Lonchura striata: one gene and its partner. The protein of the gene in region 1 purifies or fractionates together with the protein of each later gene. This does not show direct contact. Links are inferred from orthologs where the notes say so. Each region holds a gene or a part of one and is shown in the gene's direction. Other genes may lie near its edges.

The links. The genes of interacting proteins can lie anywhere in the genome.
Region 2: the proteins of PRDX1 (region 1) and thioredoxin purify together in Homo sapiens (affinity purification with western blotting; 3 studies listed by BioGRID, with this or other methods). This does not show direct contact. The link is inferred for Lonchura striata from reciprocal best matches to the Homo sapiens genes PRDX1 and TXN.

What each region holds. Positions count from the first base shown.
Region 1 is NC_134611.1:13,332,563-13,340,154, forward strand, and holds the start of PRDX1 (peroxiredoxin-1), read left to right. Parts: upstream 1-4,592; 5' UTR 4,593-4,691; intron 4,692-7,404; 5' UTR 7,405-7,415; coding exon 7,416-7,521; intron 7,522-7,592. UniProt on the Homo sapiens protein: Thiol-specific peroxidase that catalyzes the reduction of hydrogen peroxide and organic hydroperoxides to water and alcohols, respectively.
Region 2 is NC_134642.1:61,378,510-61,386,262, forward strand, and holds the start of thioredoxin, read left to right. Parts: upstream 1-4,750; 5' UTR 4,751-4,889; coding exon 4,890-4,913; intron 4,914-7,753. UniProt on the Homo sapiens protein: Participates in various redox reactions through the reversible oxidation of its active center dithiol to a disulfide and catalyzes dithiol-disulfide exchange reactions.

The sequences.
Region 1 (7,592 bases):
ATTTGAACTATAGCCTCTGGAAGAATGGAACACATCAGAATGGCAGACACTGGAAAAATATGTTAATTAATACTTTCCACTCAGATTCTTCCCTAAAATAGAGGATTTAGGAGAATGACATTTATGATGCTAGCCATAATTATTCAGTTCATTAAAAAGCTGAAAACCTCTTCTTTGAAGGGCAGAGATAAGGAAAAACATAAAAGGAAACTAAATCTGGAGAAGTAAGATATGGTGATGCCTTAACATCACCAACCTACTGCCACATTCACATAAAAGGATTAAAGCTCAGAGTAATTCAAGGACATTGTGGCTAAGAGGTGTATCAATAACCACAATAATGCAAACCACCCCGGTCCATCAACCCACAGCTACAGCTCTGTTTTAACTTAAAGCAACGAGTCTTTCAGCAGCTATGCATACTATTAATACGTATAGCTATGCAAACAGGTACATATTGGCGATACTTAAGCCGCTGTAACCGAGCAGCTCCCGCCGCACAGATCGGGGATAACCCCTCTCCATTCCGGCTCCCCTGCAGAGGCCGAGTGCGCCCACCTGCCCCTTATCGGGGCGGCGCAGGGCGGGCCCGCGCGGCGCGGGGCGCTGCAGGGGCGATAAGGGGCGCCGCCGCTCCCGCACTCACCGCCGGTACCGAGCGCCGCTCCCGCCGCTCCTGAGGCTGCTGCCCCCGCTGCTGCCCGGCCCTTCCGCTTCCGCCGCCAGCGGGCCGCGGGCTGGGGCGGCGCGGCTGCCCCTGGCGGGTTCAAATGTGGAAGTCCATTAAAGTCTGTCAGTGGGGGTTTAGCGGGGCTGAGCTGCCCTCACGGCCCTGCCCCCGGCCGGGCTCCCCGGCACCGACCCGCTCCTGTTACTGCTCGGGTTTGCCCCGCTGGTGTCCTGGGCCTCCCGGCCCGGGTCCCGGGGAGCTCAGGCAGCCCAGCCTCGCCGCTCCCGCCCAGCGGTGAAGTGATGCATGCGATGAGCTGCACCGCACGGGGGGGACAGACAAAAGATGACCCCGGCCCATAAATTTGACAAGAAGCGTTTGCATTTCCCTGGCTGCTGTTTGTCGCGGCCTCTTGAAGCTATTTCTACTTGTAGGAAGACCGAATATACCCAGTTTTATTTGCAGACCTAAATAACAGGAATCAAGGGAAAGTGAAAGGCCGGTTGCACTCGTTTTGCTTCACCTTTTGCACTCTAAGGTGTATAGAGAAGTCGCACTTTCCGAGAAAGCCGGGGTTTCTCTCCTTGCAGATGGCCAGGAATTCATTTCCTTGTTTGCTCGGGACCGCAGTGAGATTAAAGCAGGCTCATTCAGCTGAGCGCTTTCACTGCTGGGCAGGGACAGCCCTGCTGCTGCCAAATCAAAGCCTTCTGCTGGAGCAGACTTTGGCCTCTAATCGAGAATCAACTGTGCACCCAATCTTAAACACAACTTAAAACAGATAATCACTTCTGACTATTACTCCAAAAAAGGATCCCATCTTTACAAGCAATTTATAAACGTTCAGAACTTAGAGTAAGATTAGATCAGAAATAAGGCAATTGATACCTCTGGTGAGCCTCTTGAAGAACCTCTTACTTATTTCCAGAAAGAAGAATCTGCAGCAGATTTAGTCTTTTCTGTTCTGACTTGAACTGCTCAGGAGACTTAAAGGCACAAAGGTCAGTTAATCTCTTGGGCATGCATGTGACCAGATTTTCATGCTGCACAGCCTGTTTTGACAAAATAAGGGAAAGTGGAAGAAAAGTGCAAGGACAAGACAATTATAAGTAACAGGAGTCGGGAAATGAAAGAATAAAGGGGGAGGAATCACTGCTGATTTTGATTTATTTTTATGAAGACCCTGGCAAACACATCCATTTGAAAGTCCACAATCTTCAAGCAAAAGAAGATGCTTGAATTATGTAAATCTCACATATGAAAACTTTAACAAACCTTAGCCTCCAGCAATGTAATAGGGGAGTAAAAGAGAAAAGGTAAGGAAGACTGAAAAATTTTGTAATCAAAAGGCAGTGGTTATCCAAACATACAGTAATAGCCTGCTAATTGAAAAAAAATCAGAGAAGAGGTAATTTTGACCTAGAAATAGGTCAAAAACTTGATTCAAACAAGGAAAGCTATGTGTATTGTATATTTAATGGCATGCAGTTGTTTTCATTAAAATGATTGTGCACCAGCTGCTTGTGCATAAATGCCCCATGGAACTTGTTAGTTGCTGACTTGTTAGCTGACTTTCTGCACACATTAAATTAAATAGTCCCCACATGGCCAGGACTTGACTCTGACTGTGCCTCTGGTAGTACCATGTGTATGTAGGAGGTTTGGTATATTCAGGACTCAGTGGACTTTTGGCACATGCAGTGATGAACTCCACAGGGAATGTGTGAGGGTGTCCCAGTGTGCTGGCTTTTGAGGGCATGCAGGGACTACCTCTGCTGTGTGCCCCAGGGGCATGCCTAGTGTTGCCAAATCCATTACTATTCCAGCCAAATTTATCTTATTCTGGAAATCTTTGATACTCTTACACAAAACTATTCTCAAATGCATGGAAACCCAAACGTGTGGTAACGTTTTGAAACAGGTCCAGTTTCTTTGCCTTTCTTTTTACACACAGCAGGGCATTTGTTTTTTCACATCAGGGGCCCATTCCCAACCAAGATACATGAGAGATACTGTAATCAAAATGATGGATGTGAAAGCTAGTTTGGCTCCCAGTTTGGGTAGTTTCAGTGCTCTGGCACTGCAGGGCCTGCCAGCTCCTCTTTGTTGATAGATGAAGTACTTATTGTGTCCCTGTCGGAGTGGCTGGGTGCAGAGAGGCCTGCACTGGGCTCTGATGCTCCATGCTAATCAGGTACAAGCTGATCCTGTCTGGCAGCTATTTTATCAGTACAGGACAGCACAGTTACACTGCTGTGTGGAGAGAACTCCATCCTTCCAGCACCTGCGGGGGTAGACTTGCCCTTTCTTTCCTGGAAAACATGATTGTTTTAATCTAAGTAGCATCCTACATCTAAAGGTTGAGAAAGGCTACAGAAACCCAGGTGCTCACTGAACAAGAAGTGGCCCTGACAATTTATTATTCCAAAACCTCCAAAAACTGACATCTGGAAAGACAAGCTCAGAAATTAATCAAAAGTAATGAGGCCATAGACATCTGAATGGAAAGGCAATGCTTACAGCACAAACCTGGAACAACCTGCAGACCATACTGGGTATATTGTGCATCTGAAATTATGAGAAATCAGCATAACAAGCATTGAAGGAGTCAGAAACCACGAGAAAGTCATGATTACTTTGTCCATTTGTAAACATGCCAGCGTTGCAGTGGCACTACATTGTTCTGGAGGCTTTAATTAGAACTGCCTGACCTTTCAGGAGTTAATCTGTTCACAGGCTCATTGGCCTGAGGCGATGGAGAAGTATATACATATCTCAATATATAGACCTCAATTCTCAGTGCTGATGTTAAGAAAGTAAACTTCTTCCTGTAAAAGATTAAGCATGCTATAGCAATAGAAGTAGATAAATTAGTTGCATGGAAGTGAGTGCAGATTTTTTCCTGAGTACATATATGCATGTTATTTGCTTTCAGTATTCATTAAGGATTAAGTTCATCTGGTCCCAAAATGAGTCATCTCTGGGTGAACCACCACAACGGTATAGTTACCCAGCAACACTGCACAGTGATCTTGACTATAAACCTTTAAAGTTTGTTAATCCTTTGTGGTTTTCTCCTCATCAATATTTATAATCAAGTTTTAAAAAATATAAGAAGCACAACTGTAAACTGCAAAACAGATGAGTAAAAATCAGTTGGTGAGCACATTTATCACTTTTGACAGAAGCAAGCATTTTTGTCTTTGATATGGCTTAATGGCTTTAGATATTTATTATTTAATAAAATAAATTCACATTTAAAATCAAAATTTGGCCCTTAAAAAGTACCACACTCCTTGTTCACTTTTAGATTCAAAGACAGCACTTATGTGAAATCACTGATGTTAAACATCACTCAGAGCAGCTTCACTACAGAATGATGCAAAACTCCCAAGAGTTTCCATTTTACCACTGAAGCTCAACGATTAGACTTTAAACTTAGTTTTCATCTTTCTTTTGCTGACTTGCATGACTGGGATCGGTGTTCCCATTGATGGAGAAGAATCAATGAAAGCCTTGGGACGAGTATTAGGGAGAGGGGGCAGTGGGTAATGCAGAGCGAGAGGATGGAGATTTGACACCGCACCTGTGCAACACTGCGAACACACATTGTTCTGCTCGTGAGAGGTTTCGTTTTACTTCTGTCAATGACCAACACTTAATTCACATGAATGACATGCCAGTCATCCCTTTTCCTCTCTCAAAGTCCTGCGTGCCCTCTGAGGACTTCAAATAATCATAGCTAGGTCAATTAGGGCACTAAAAACGCCATCGCTTCTTGCACCAAGCCCATCAATCGTTTATAGCCGCGGCATTGGCGATTTGCGCGGCACTTCCCGGGACTCTCTCCAGGGAAGGATCTGCCAAGTCATGCTGCCCTGGCAGGCGCGGCCGCGCTCCCCTCCCCGCGCGTCCGCTCGCGAGATCGCGCCGCTATAAAGGGGGCGGCGCGGCGGGGCTGCGGCAGAGCGGGCCGGGCGGAGCGGCTGCTGTGAGCGGATCGGCGCTGCGCTGCGAGTGAGTGAGTGTGCGGGGCTCTGGGGGCTGCTGCGGGCTCTGCACAGTGTTTTGGGCTTTTTTAAAATTTAATTTTATTTTTGTGTGGTTTTTGTTACTGCTTTGGGTGGGTTTTTTGTTCGCTTTCCCCTCCCCCTCTGCTCAGATGCGCGCTTGAACGAGGCGCGTGGGGCGAGCCCTTTCTCCCCGCGTCCCGCTCCCGAAGGATCGCTGCCGCCTGAACCGCCGTGTTCAGTTTCCCCTGGTTTTGGTTTGGGCTTTTTTTGGCGGGGAGAGCGAGCAGAGAAGTCGTTCCAACGCTCCGGCCTTTATCAGCGCTGCGCGGGGCGGAGCCGCGGGCGGGGAGCGCGCAGGGCGCCCGCAGGGAGCCGAGCGGCCCCTTCCCCGACAAGGAGGCGGCATCTCGCTCCTAAGCCTTAAGAAACCCCAAAGCCGAGCGCTGGCTGCGGCTCGGGGACGTGCAGGGGGCGGGTTCCCCGGTCGCAGAGCGGGGGCAGGCTCGGGGGCCGCCCCGGGGCCCCACGCGTGCCGCGGTCCGTGCGCGATGCCCGCGGTTCGGTGTCGCACCCCGAGCGCGGCCGCGGCGGCCCGACCGCGTTGTGTGACAGTCTGGAGGTGGCAGAGGGGGAGGCTGATGGCGCCTTTTGAAACGGCCTTTCGCTTTTGTTCGAGGCACCCTAAAGGTATGAAATCGCTCGCTCAAGAGAGCAGGCCTGGCTCATTATAATTGCTGTTTGAAGATAATTGAGGCCGTCTGCGGCTATGAGCAACAAAGATACTCTGGCCGGATTCGAGTGTATTTGGTTTAAGGTGCTCATTCTACTTTCCTGCAGAATGAACGGAAGTAACAATGATTCTGTGGTCTGCTCCTCTGCGGGTTAGGAAATGCTGTGGCTAAAAATCCGAGCAGAACACGCGCGGACCCCACACGGAATAGCAGAAGGGTTGGCAGATCACAGCGGGTGCTCTGAGGAAAGCACATGGCTCTCTTGAAGTGTGAGGCAACCAAAGTCTCCTGCAAATATTAAAATATTTTAATGGTACCAGAGAAAGGGGCAATAACTTGTAGTTTAGAAAGGGGAAGTATCAAAGAGCAGTCTGACCTTGAATATCTAGTGAAATACTCCAGAGAATTGCTGATGGAATAAATATAGAAGGACTGGCATAGTACTGAGCAAAAGGATGACCTTGAGCTGGGATAACAGAAAATAATGTAATTCAGTGATAAAAATGTGGGGTCATGCACTCCAGGCTGAGCAGCTCTTGCTTATAAGATAAAACTTGCTAGTTGGAGGCATCTCAAATAAATACTGTGCTGTTCCCCTGTCCCTCTTGCAGAACTGCACTTTGAGAGCCACAGCTCCATTTGTGTGTACAGGATTCTTGATGTCCTCCTGCCAGGCTACTTCACTGCATCCTACAAATGATCTCTAGTCCTGGCCACCATATTCGCTCCCAGTCTGCTGCAGTTAAAGACTAAAAACCCTCGGATGAACATGGGGATAAGGAGCTTTGTTTTACAGTTAGAAATGCTGAGTGTGTGAGCACTTCTCAAAATGGAAATAAAGAGGTGGATTATTACTGTCAGGGTGTGTAAAAGAAACTTGCAAAAGGAAACCATTTCTAAAAAGGCTAGGTGTGGGTTCAAAGCTAAATGTTTGACTTGTGGGCTAGTTCTCCAGGAAAAAAAGTGTCTGGCAAGGGGGAAGGAGCCAAGAAATGAGGTGCTCTCAACTTTTTTTAGAACGGACTTGGTGCCTTGCAGGCACAACTTGGAACAATCCTTGGCTCTTGGCTTTCCTTAGCAACATGAGAGTCATGCTAACCTTTGAGGTGTTTTTCATCTCCAAGGCAGCCAGTGCTGCAGTGTGTAGAATGAAGTGAAATAGCTTCTAAGAATATTATGTGATCTGCAGAAATTACGTTTGTAGAGTTACCTATTTGAAAGATTATGCTCTGGAAGTCTAAAGAGTTGTACTACACTCCCAGACTGAGCAAAAATACTACACGGGATGTATTGCAGATGACAAGCTTTTGGGGGAGACAGCCAGAAGTAGCATTCTTTTATCCTTGTGTACCCTTTTTTTCTTTTTCAATAGAAATAAAGGGGAAACAACCTGGCTGTACTGATTTAGACTCTGTGAAATTGTAATTAACATAGAATGTGATTTCCATGTGTGCCACGAGTTTTTCTGGTTGCAAATAAAAAAGGATTGAATTGTTCAAAAGGTTTAAGTGTAGCTATGCAGAGCAATGTTCCCTGGAGATTAACAGACGTTATTTTCTTTCAGAATCAACAGGAAGCTCAAGTTTGAGGTCTTAAATTCCCTTGTAAAATTGAACAAGGTTCTTCTCCTTGAAAATTCTGAAAAACATACTTCCTACTCTTCCACCATGTGGAATGGTATGGTTTTCTGAGTACTAGTAAAGCTCTAGGCTAGGAGTTTGCCAGACGCTGAGCTATTAGTGGTTAGATAACCACTACTGTATCTTTAGGAGGCCATGTGCCATAGATTTTGAAGTGCTGGCAGTCTCTATAGTGGTTCAACTACCCAGGTGACAAAACTCATTTAACCCCTAAGCCTTGTTTAAAGACCAAGTGCTGATAAACTGTCTTTGGTGTTTAATCTAGATTGATAAGATGCTTTGAATAAATCCTTACTTCCAGCTGCAAATGTACTGCCATCTAAACTGTATTGGTGTTGACTCCTGTCTAGGTTAAATCAAGATGTCTTCAGGAAAGGCTTTCATTGGAAAACCAGCTCCTGACTTTACTGCCACGGCTGTAATGCCAGATGGACAGTTCAAAGACATCAAGCTCTCTGACTACAAAGGTAATTTCATGTGCTTCTCTAATTACACAGATGGTCTGGCCATAGGAAGGACTGGAGGGTATCTGAAGGTG
Region 2 (7,753 bases), on another chromosome or scaffold:
CAAAGACATCTCCACATGTGTATCTCCACATGTTCTGAAACATCAGTGTTTGTCTATTGTCAGGCCAAATCAGCAGATACTGTCCCCCAGACAAAATGTTATGAAAATGCACATGTCCCAAAAAAGCAAAAATATCTCATCTCCTCTCCAGGAGTCTCCTGATCTCCCATTCTGCAGATGTTCAGCACAAGCACAGCGACCACAAAGTGCTAAATTTCAGCTTCATGCTTTGGCACAACCTTGAAATTCTCTTTTCCTCTTTGTCCACTGCCGTCCTCAAGGCCAAGAGCCTTGTAATACCCTCCTGCAGCCCAAAGAGTCTTGCTTCTGTGTAGTAGCAGGGGACATTTGGACAGACAGATTCAGCATCATTCCCTAGGAAAATGAAGGATCCCCTAAAAAATATGTGGTTCTCTAGGGAAAAAAAAAAAAAAAAGACACAACATGTATTGTAGAAAAAAAAATGCAGATCTGCTTGCTCTAGACTGCTCTGCTACCCAAGGAAGAACAGAGGCTGAGAGCATGGAGGAGATGACTGAGTTTGAGACACTTAAGGCAAATACATGTGTTTGTCTTGACATGAGGCCTGAAGTGTCTCGATAACAGAGAGTGCATATAAGCATTCCCATGTTCACAGACCTCCTGTCAGGGTACCTTCCTTTGTGGAGACCCACAACATGGCATAAACCCAGGTGAGCTCACAGAAGCTTTCTTTAAAAAACAGGTTCCTTCTAATACAAGTCCAAAAAGTAGTAGCTTCATCAGTTCTGGACTGTTTTGAAATTCTTTTCTCCAAAGATTCAAAAATGAAGCAAAAATGAGGGAAGGGAACATGTATGTAAGGGAAGTGACTTGGATGTTTTCTTGATTCTCAGAAGGGCTTTGTTAACCAACATACCCCCATGGTAAGGGGAGATGAACTGCGGTCAAGATCTTTATTTCCCTTTTTTTCCCCCACATTTTACTCAGCTTCTCTCTTTTTTAATCATACATGCTACACCAAGCATTCAAAAGACTCTAGGCAATTACATCTGCAGTACATCAGCCTGCAAGAGAGAAAGAAGTATGTTTCCTCTGTGACTTATGCTGGCACAACACCAAGCACACCTATCCAATTATTAAACATTTATTGCACCTTTAATACATGAGTTACAAAAGCAAAATCCTCCAGAAGGGCAGGCTGGAAGGAAAGGGAAAGTACAATTAAAGGTTGCTGCCCTGTTGCAATGTCAGGGCCAGATGTTACACTCTCAATTTACATTGCAAGACAATGGCAAATAACCTGGCCTTCCTATGGTAAAATCTGATGCTCCTATGGCTGGAGTTGTTGCCTCTAGCAGCTGCCTCATTTCTGCAGCTGGATGCACCATTTTGTAATGTTGGACATGACTGACCATCTGTGCCATGGCTGTAGTATTATTATCCTTGTAGCTGTGCCTTTTATTGAATGACACATTTGAGAGGTCAGGACACTTAAGAGTGGTTTTAGGAGACAGAAGTTTTTCTTAGATATGCTCATGGATGTGCAGTTGCAGACCTACAGCCTACCTTGGGTCTCACCACGCCATGGCATTCCTCCATCCACCAACATGCACTGGCATACAAAGAAAAGAAAAAGCAAGCCCTGGAAAGGTAATTCATGGTCCCAAAGCCTTTAAACTACAGATCTGGAAAGCCATGTGGAGCTGGGGGGGCATCACACCGGGACCGTGTGTCACAGCTCTGGCTCATTCATCCAGAGGGACACCATGATTTACAACCTGCCTTGCTGGTCATCCTGTCAGGGATTACTGCTGCTCACCTTTTCTACCCTCCTTCCCACCTCTCCCAGCAGCTCAGAAGGAACTGAAACTGTAATTTGCTCAGCCTCCCAAAACCCTACTGCATGTCAGACCCTGAGCACACCCCGAGTTCACCTCCAGGGTGAAGCTCTTTCCTACTGCTGGCCCATGTTGCTCTCACCTAACAGGTGACATCAAACAACACAAACAAAGCCCAAAAAATAAAGGATGCCTTCCACCACAGGAGCTTTAAAGGTGACTAAAACAACACAAATTGAATTCCCACCTGGATGTTTGTGATGACTGTGGCATAGCATGAGCTCTCCAAAAATACAGTCCTTTTTACTGGCCTACACCTAAGTGGTACTGATTAATTCACTTGAGGGCACCTAAATTTAGACCTTCTGACTTCCTCTCCCACATGTTTTGCACACATCCAAGGAGCGTGGCAAAGATATACTCAGTTATAGTGCATGGGTGGCTCAGTCATTTCTCTATGTCTCCAGACTTTCTGCAAGAGAAACTATCTAGGGACTAATTTTTGAAAGTTACATTGCCTTTTCACTCTGCCCCTCCTCAGACCACATTTTCTGACTTCCAGAAGCAAGCAAACACACCCTCCTGAATGTCTTTAAGTGCTTCCTCATTCTCTGTCAGCCCAGATTTGCAAAGAGCCATCTACTGGCCACCGTCCTACCCAGTGACTCCTGGGTATGACACATCATACAGCAGTCTGCTGAATCATGAAATTCACGTGATTTTCAACTTCTCCACAGCCAACTTGCATATTTTTAACATCCACTCTCCAGCAGCCTGGGGGAGAGAAGTATGTTGCATTTGTGGTTGTGAGGAAAGTGGGTGGGAGTGAGGGCACCTGAGAAGCTGAGGCTCCTATGGATGAGTGACTGTGTACATGGGACAGCCACAGCATTGCTGAGCTAAACAATGAGATATTCCACAGTTTAAAAAAACAAAACACCCATTTAGAGGATACACATTGCTCTGTAGCATTTTTATTATGTGCTGTCATGATAGTAATTACAACAATTTAAGAATCAAGCACAGATCACATATATTATATTACTGTCCAGTTATTTTAGGCATCCATACAACAATCATACAGCAACATTTTGAACTTCAAACTGCTGTATGCCTAAGCCTGTTAAGTCAAGTGACTGTGAGCACAGCAAGAGATGAGTGGCCACATATGGCACCTAAGAAAAGACACACTTTTCCTTCTAGTTTAGAGAGGGTTTACCCACCCACACTTGCCTTTAGAAGGCTGTTGGTTTCTAAGAATTTATTGTTTGGGTGGGTTGTTCCCTGCATTTGCTTGCACTGGCTTCTGCAAGAGCCACATAATGCTTGGCTGAGGTGGGGAATTCAGGAGTTGGACTTTGAAAGTAGTCTGGGCTTCTTAATTTATCCTGCCAGGCCGCAGGTTGTAGAGAAAGGTGCCTTGGCTGATGAGGAATTCCTGCTTTCTTCTGAGCAGCAGCTGCACCTCCCCAAAGCAGCACAGGACACATGTACCAGTTGTGTTTGTCAGCCACAAGGCACATGGACACAAGGGCAGCAGGGACCAGCTGGAGGAAGCTGGATGAAAATACAAAAGCCAACAGAAACCACTAAGCCTTCATGGTGCTGCTTCTCACCCACTGGCATCCTGGCTCCTCTAGTGATGCTGCCAAAGAAAAAAAAGGAGATGCTCATGGTATCTAACAGGTGGGGGAAGAAGCAGAAAGAGCAGCAATCAAAGTGTTTCAGGCAGACAAAACCTATCAGGTCTGGAAAGATATAGACAGGGGATGCAACCATAGGGCCAGAAAAGAGCTTACTAGTTTTCCTGCAGTAGTATGACACACACTTAATAAACTTCCAAAATAAAAAATTACTTACTCAGTTTCTACCACAAGTAAAGCAACATATGAGGGCATATCCTGTTGGGATGGGTTGGTACCTGTATCCAAGGCAAACTGTCTTTTGTTTTCTTTTTCTTTTCAAGAAAGAACTGTATTTCTTTTTTTATCCAGGACCTGCACTAAGTCTTCTCACCTTCTGCTCAGGTGTATCCCAGAGCAAACTTTCACAGGCTGCTAACCCAGCTGCTAAAACCTGCAGAAACAGCCCGTTCGTGACACAGCTGGCACCAATATCCCAACACCTAACCTTTCCTGGGTCCCGTGCAGTAGGAACTGGAGTCAGCAACGTCCAGAGTCCAACATTAAACCCTACCAGCCCAACAGAAGGAGAACAGGGCTGTGGCAGGCCTGTTTTGCACTGTGGGGTGAGCTGTGGCACAGCTTGCGATGAAACAAGGGACGTCTCCAAAACACAGAGAAAAAAACCAAGATGGATGGAACTTGTAGGTTCCACCAGAGAACCCCCTCGGATGGGAACGCTAAGCTATTCCCTTGAGGAGTCTTTCTGGCTGAGTCCCTGCATGAGGGGAGCTACGGGAGGCGGTCAGAGTTTAACCCCGGGTTAAACACCGCAGCCTTCCGCGCTGCACAAGGGCCCACATCCCACAGAGCAAGGGCGCCACTCCCTGCTTTTGGTGGTGGGAAGGAAAACAACAAGGGAAAAAAAGTAACAAGGAAAAAAATATTCCCGTCATTTATTCCTGCCTTCCACTCTGCCCGCATTACGGGCAACACCAGCTCCCTTTCTCGTAAGGCGAGCAAAACGCCGCGTCAGACAGAGCCGCTCCCCGCGGGGACGTGATGGGGGGGGGGGGGGGGGGAGGGGGAGGGGCCAAGCAACTTCCTGCTCATCGTTACACAGCACTTTTCCAACCTCCTTGGGCTTTCTTTCTTCCGCTGCTGCTGCCGGTTCCCCCGGCAGCCGGCAGGGACGCACGCTCCCCTCCCGGGCCGCCGCCCCTCAGCGGGGCCCCAGCGGCGCCGCGGGCAGCGGCAGCGCCAGGAGGCGGGTCGCCCCTGCGCATGCGCGGCGCGGCGCCGTGCTGGGCATAAAAGGGCGGCCGGGGCGGGCCGGAGACGCGCTGGGACGGCGGGAGGCAAGGCGGGAAGCTGAGCCTTGTGTGGCGACGAATCCCTTGGTTCCTTGCCTTTACAGCACCGACTCTCCTTTCCCACCGTCGCCGCCATGGTGAAGATCGTGAGCAGCCTGGTGAGCCCGATGGGCGAGGCGGTCGTGTCGTTTCGCCGTGAGAGCGGCGCCCGGCGGGACGAGCATCATCGCCCGGCGGGCGGGCGGGCGGGCGGGGATTAGCAGTGCCCGGCGCGGTTTGGCCGGCGGGGGATCGTGCTCGGGCTGCCCCGGGCCCTCGAGGGCCCGCGGGAGATGGCGGCTGCGAGCCCGTGTGCTGCCCGGGCAGGCGGAGCCTGCTTCGCCCATGCGGCGCGGCCGGGGGAAGCCGCGCGGAGGGCTCGGCCGGGGCAGGGTTGGGAACTAATAACTGCGGACCTGAGGCTTCGGGGAGTCGGAGTGAGCGGGGACGTGATGCAGTCTCGCCTTATGACGGGCTGTTCATCGCTCTTTTAAGGAAAAGGTTTCGTTTCTCAAGCGGATAGCAGGGCACTACAGCGACAGGCGGAGAGAACGCAGTCTTAAGCTGCGTCAAAGGAGGTTTAGGTTGGACATAAGGATGAATTTCTTAAAAGACAGGGTGATTTGGCGTTGGGGTACGCTTCACAGGGAAGTGGTTGAGTCACTGTCCTCGCAGATGTTTAAAGAACTCGACATGGCGCTGAGTGCCATGGTCTGGTTGACAGTGTGGTGTTGGGTCACATCTCGGACTCGATGATCTCGGGGGTCTTTTCCAACCTAACTGATTTTGTGATATAGTATCTTGATTTGGCAGTTCTGATTTGTTTTATGTACTGCTAGTGTGTAGGGGACTAGGTGGCTTTCTTAGAGTTTGGCCTGTTGCACTTCTGGGGAGGACATCGTGCAAGAGTTCATCCATTCTTGACTTGAAAGGAACTGCTAGAGCCCATTCCCCGTGCTTAAACAGCAGGAGTTGCTGGCATAAGAAGTATTTCCCTTGTTATGGTGCTGTCTGTTGTATTCACAACCCTAATGCAGCACATCACTGTTTGGATGATTCTGTGAATACAAACACATCTGTGGCTCTGAGATAGAAAGTAGTAATAAAGCCTAGACACATGGAGAATATCCTGCTGGTGATGAAATAGTATGTGGTTTTGTGCACAGCAGCTGATCTGGTTGATAGACAACAATAGAGTACTTGTTAGCTGTAACTTAGGAACCCAAGTCTCGAAAAATATTCTCCATGCAAACTTAGCAAGTTCTTAATTTCAGGAAAAATCCTGTTGGGCTAGTCTCACCCTTTTGAACTTGGAATCTGGTGCAAATGTCAGTTTGATCTCATTTTTGAGGCATCTGCAAGTGATGGTGTGTGGGTATCCTGTAAGGCCCCAAAAAGTCGCTCAGCAAGATCTTTAACAGGGCTTACAGTTAACAGGTCTTTGACAGGGCTCATTTACTCTGAGTTAGACACGGGAGAAATACTGTCAAGATATTCTCAAGAGGTCAAAAAAGACTTTACTGGCAACTTTAGAAAATCAAAGAACTTTGGCAAAAGGTTTTGTGTAACATTCAGTTAACATAAAACACTTCCCAAAGCATTAACTTAGCCCATTCAACTTGGCAAGCTCTAAACGTGTTTGATTTCAAGTCACTCAAAAATTATGAGAGGAGAGACTTAGAAGAAAAAGATAGAAGAGATATTAAAAAGGGCACATACAGCTACTAACTGCTGGGTTCTAGCAGTGTTCAGCTGATAGAAATTCCAAGAGGAGGCAGGGTCAAGACATATGCTTGCAGCATGTTTGGCCTTAAGTGCCCCTTGCCTATAGCGTGCCCATGGTTGGTGGTCACTGTCTGGGAGAAAGGCTCTAGGGATGCGGGTGTGCACTGCCTCACCAGAGCAAGGTCTGATCTGCCCCTTCCCCCACACATTTGCACCTCAAAATGTTTTGAGACCTCAGTCTTTCCAGTCTCTCAAACATCCAAGTTTGTTTTCTAGGCCGTGCTCTTCTACAGTCAGTTCGCTTTATATATGAAAGGCATGTCAAACCTCTCCCACTGGACCGCAAATTGTTGGAATCTGATACATAAATATACAAATTAACACTTGTGACCACAGCTCAAAAGCAGGTGAATGCACAAACCTCCTTAAGAGGAATGAAATGCCTTACCATTTCAGGTTCTGAAGAGAGAATGGTGTGTGACTACAACCTAGAATTGTTCTGCTTTGTATCTCTTCCCCCTTCTCTGTCTATGGTGCCACAGAAGGGGCAAACTTTTGGTGTAAGGGTGTAACAGATTAAACATGGCAAGTCAAACCTGGCTCTGGAGGAGGAGCCTACTCTTTAGGCAGGCTTTCACTATCCTCCTAGCTATGAGTGTTGTTTAACAGTCTGCTGTAGCTAAAGCGAACTTTGGTTTTGCATTCATGGACAGTGTGAACTCGGCAGTCATGCTGACAACAGCATTTTAACCTCGGTGACACCCAGAGTATTCAAGTGCAGTGCAGCTGGGATTTCTGGATTAATTCTGGTTTTCAGTAAAGCAGGTTTGTATTATTCTCTGATACAAAGGGTAAAAACCCATTCTTGCACTGTCTGCAAGAGCTTCTATGAGTGAGAGCTAGGTAGGTGTGGCCCTTTTCCCTGCACACCTCCTCAGAAGGAGACTGGCTTCTGAAGAATGTCTACTTTCAGGGTGCCTGACTGTTCCTTCTGTAGTACCTGCTATAGCACAGAAGGAGATGTATTGTTACTGTTTTTTAGTGGCCTTGAGGTGAGTGACTAGTGTAATTTGTAAGAGGGTTTGACTATGGGACATACTGCTTTTTATAGCCAAAGCTAATGGGGTGTATAAAATTAAAAAGCTGCCAAAGCTTTTCTCTTCATTCTAGCTGCCTCTCTTGTTATTTAAGTTAAAGAAGATGCTGAAAAATTGCAGCTTTTGCTGTAAGTGAT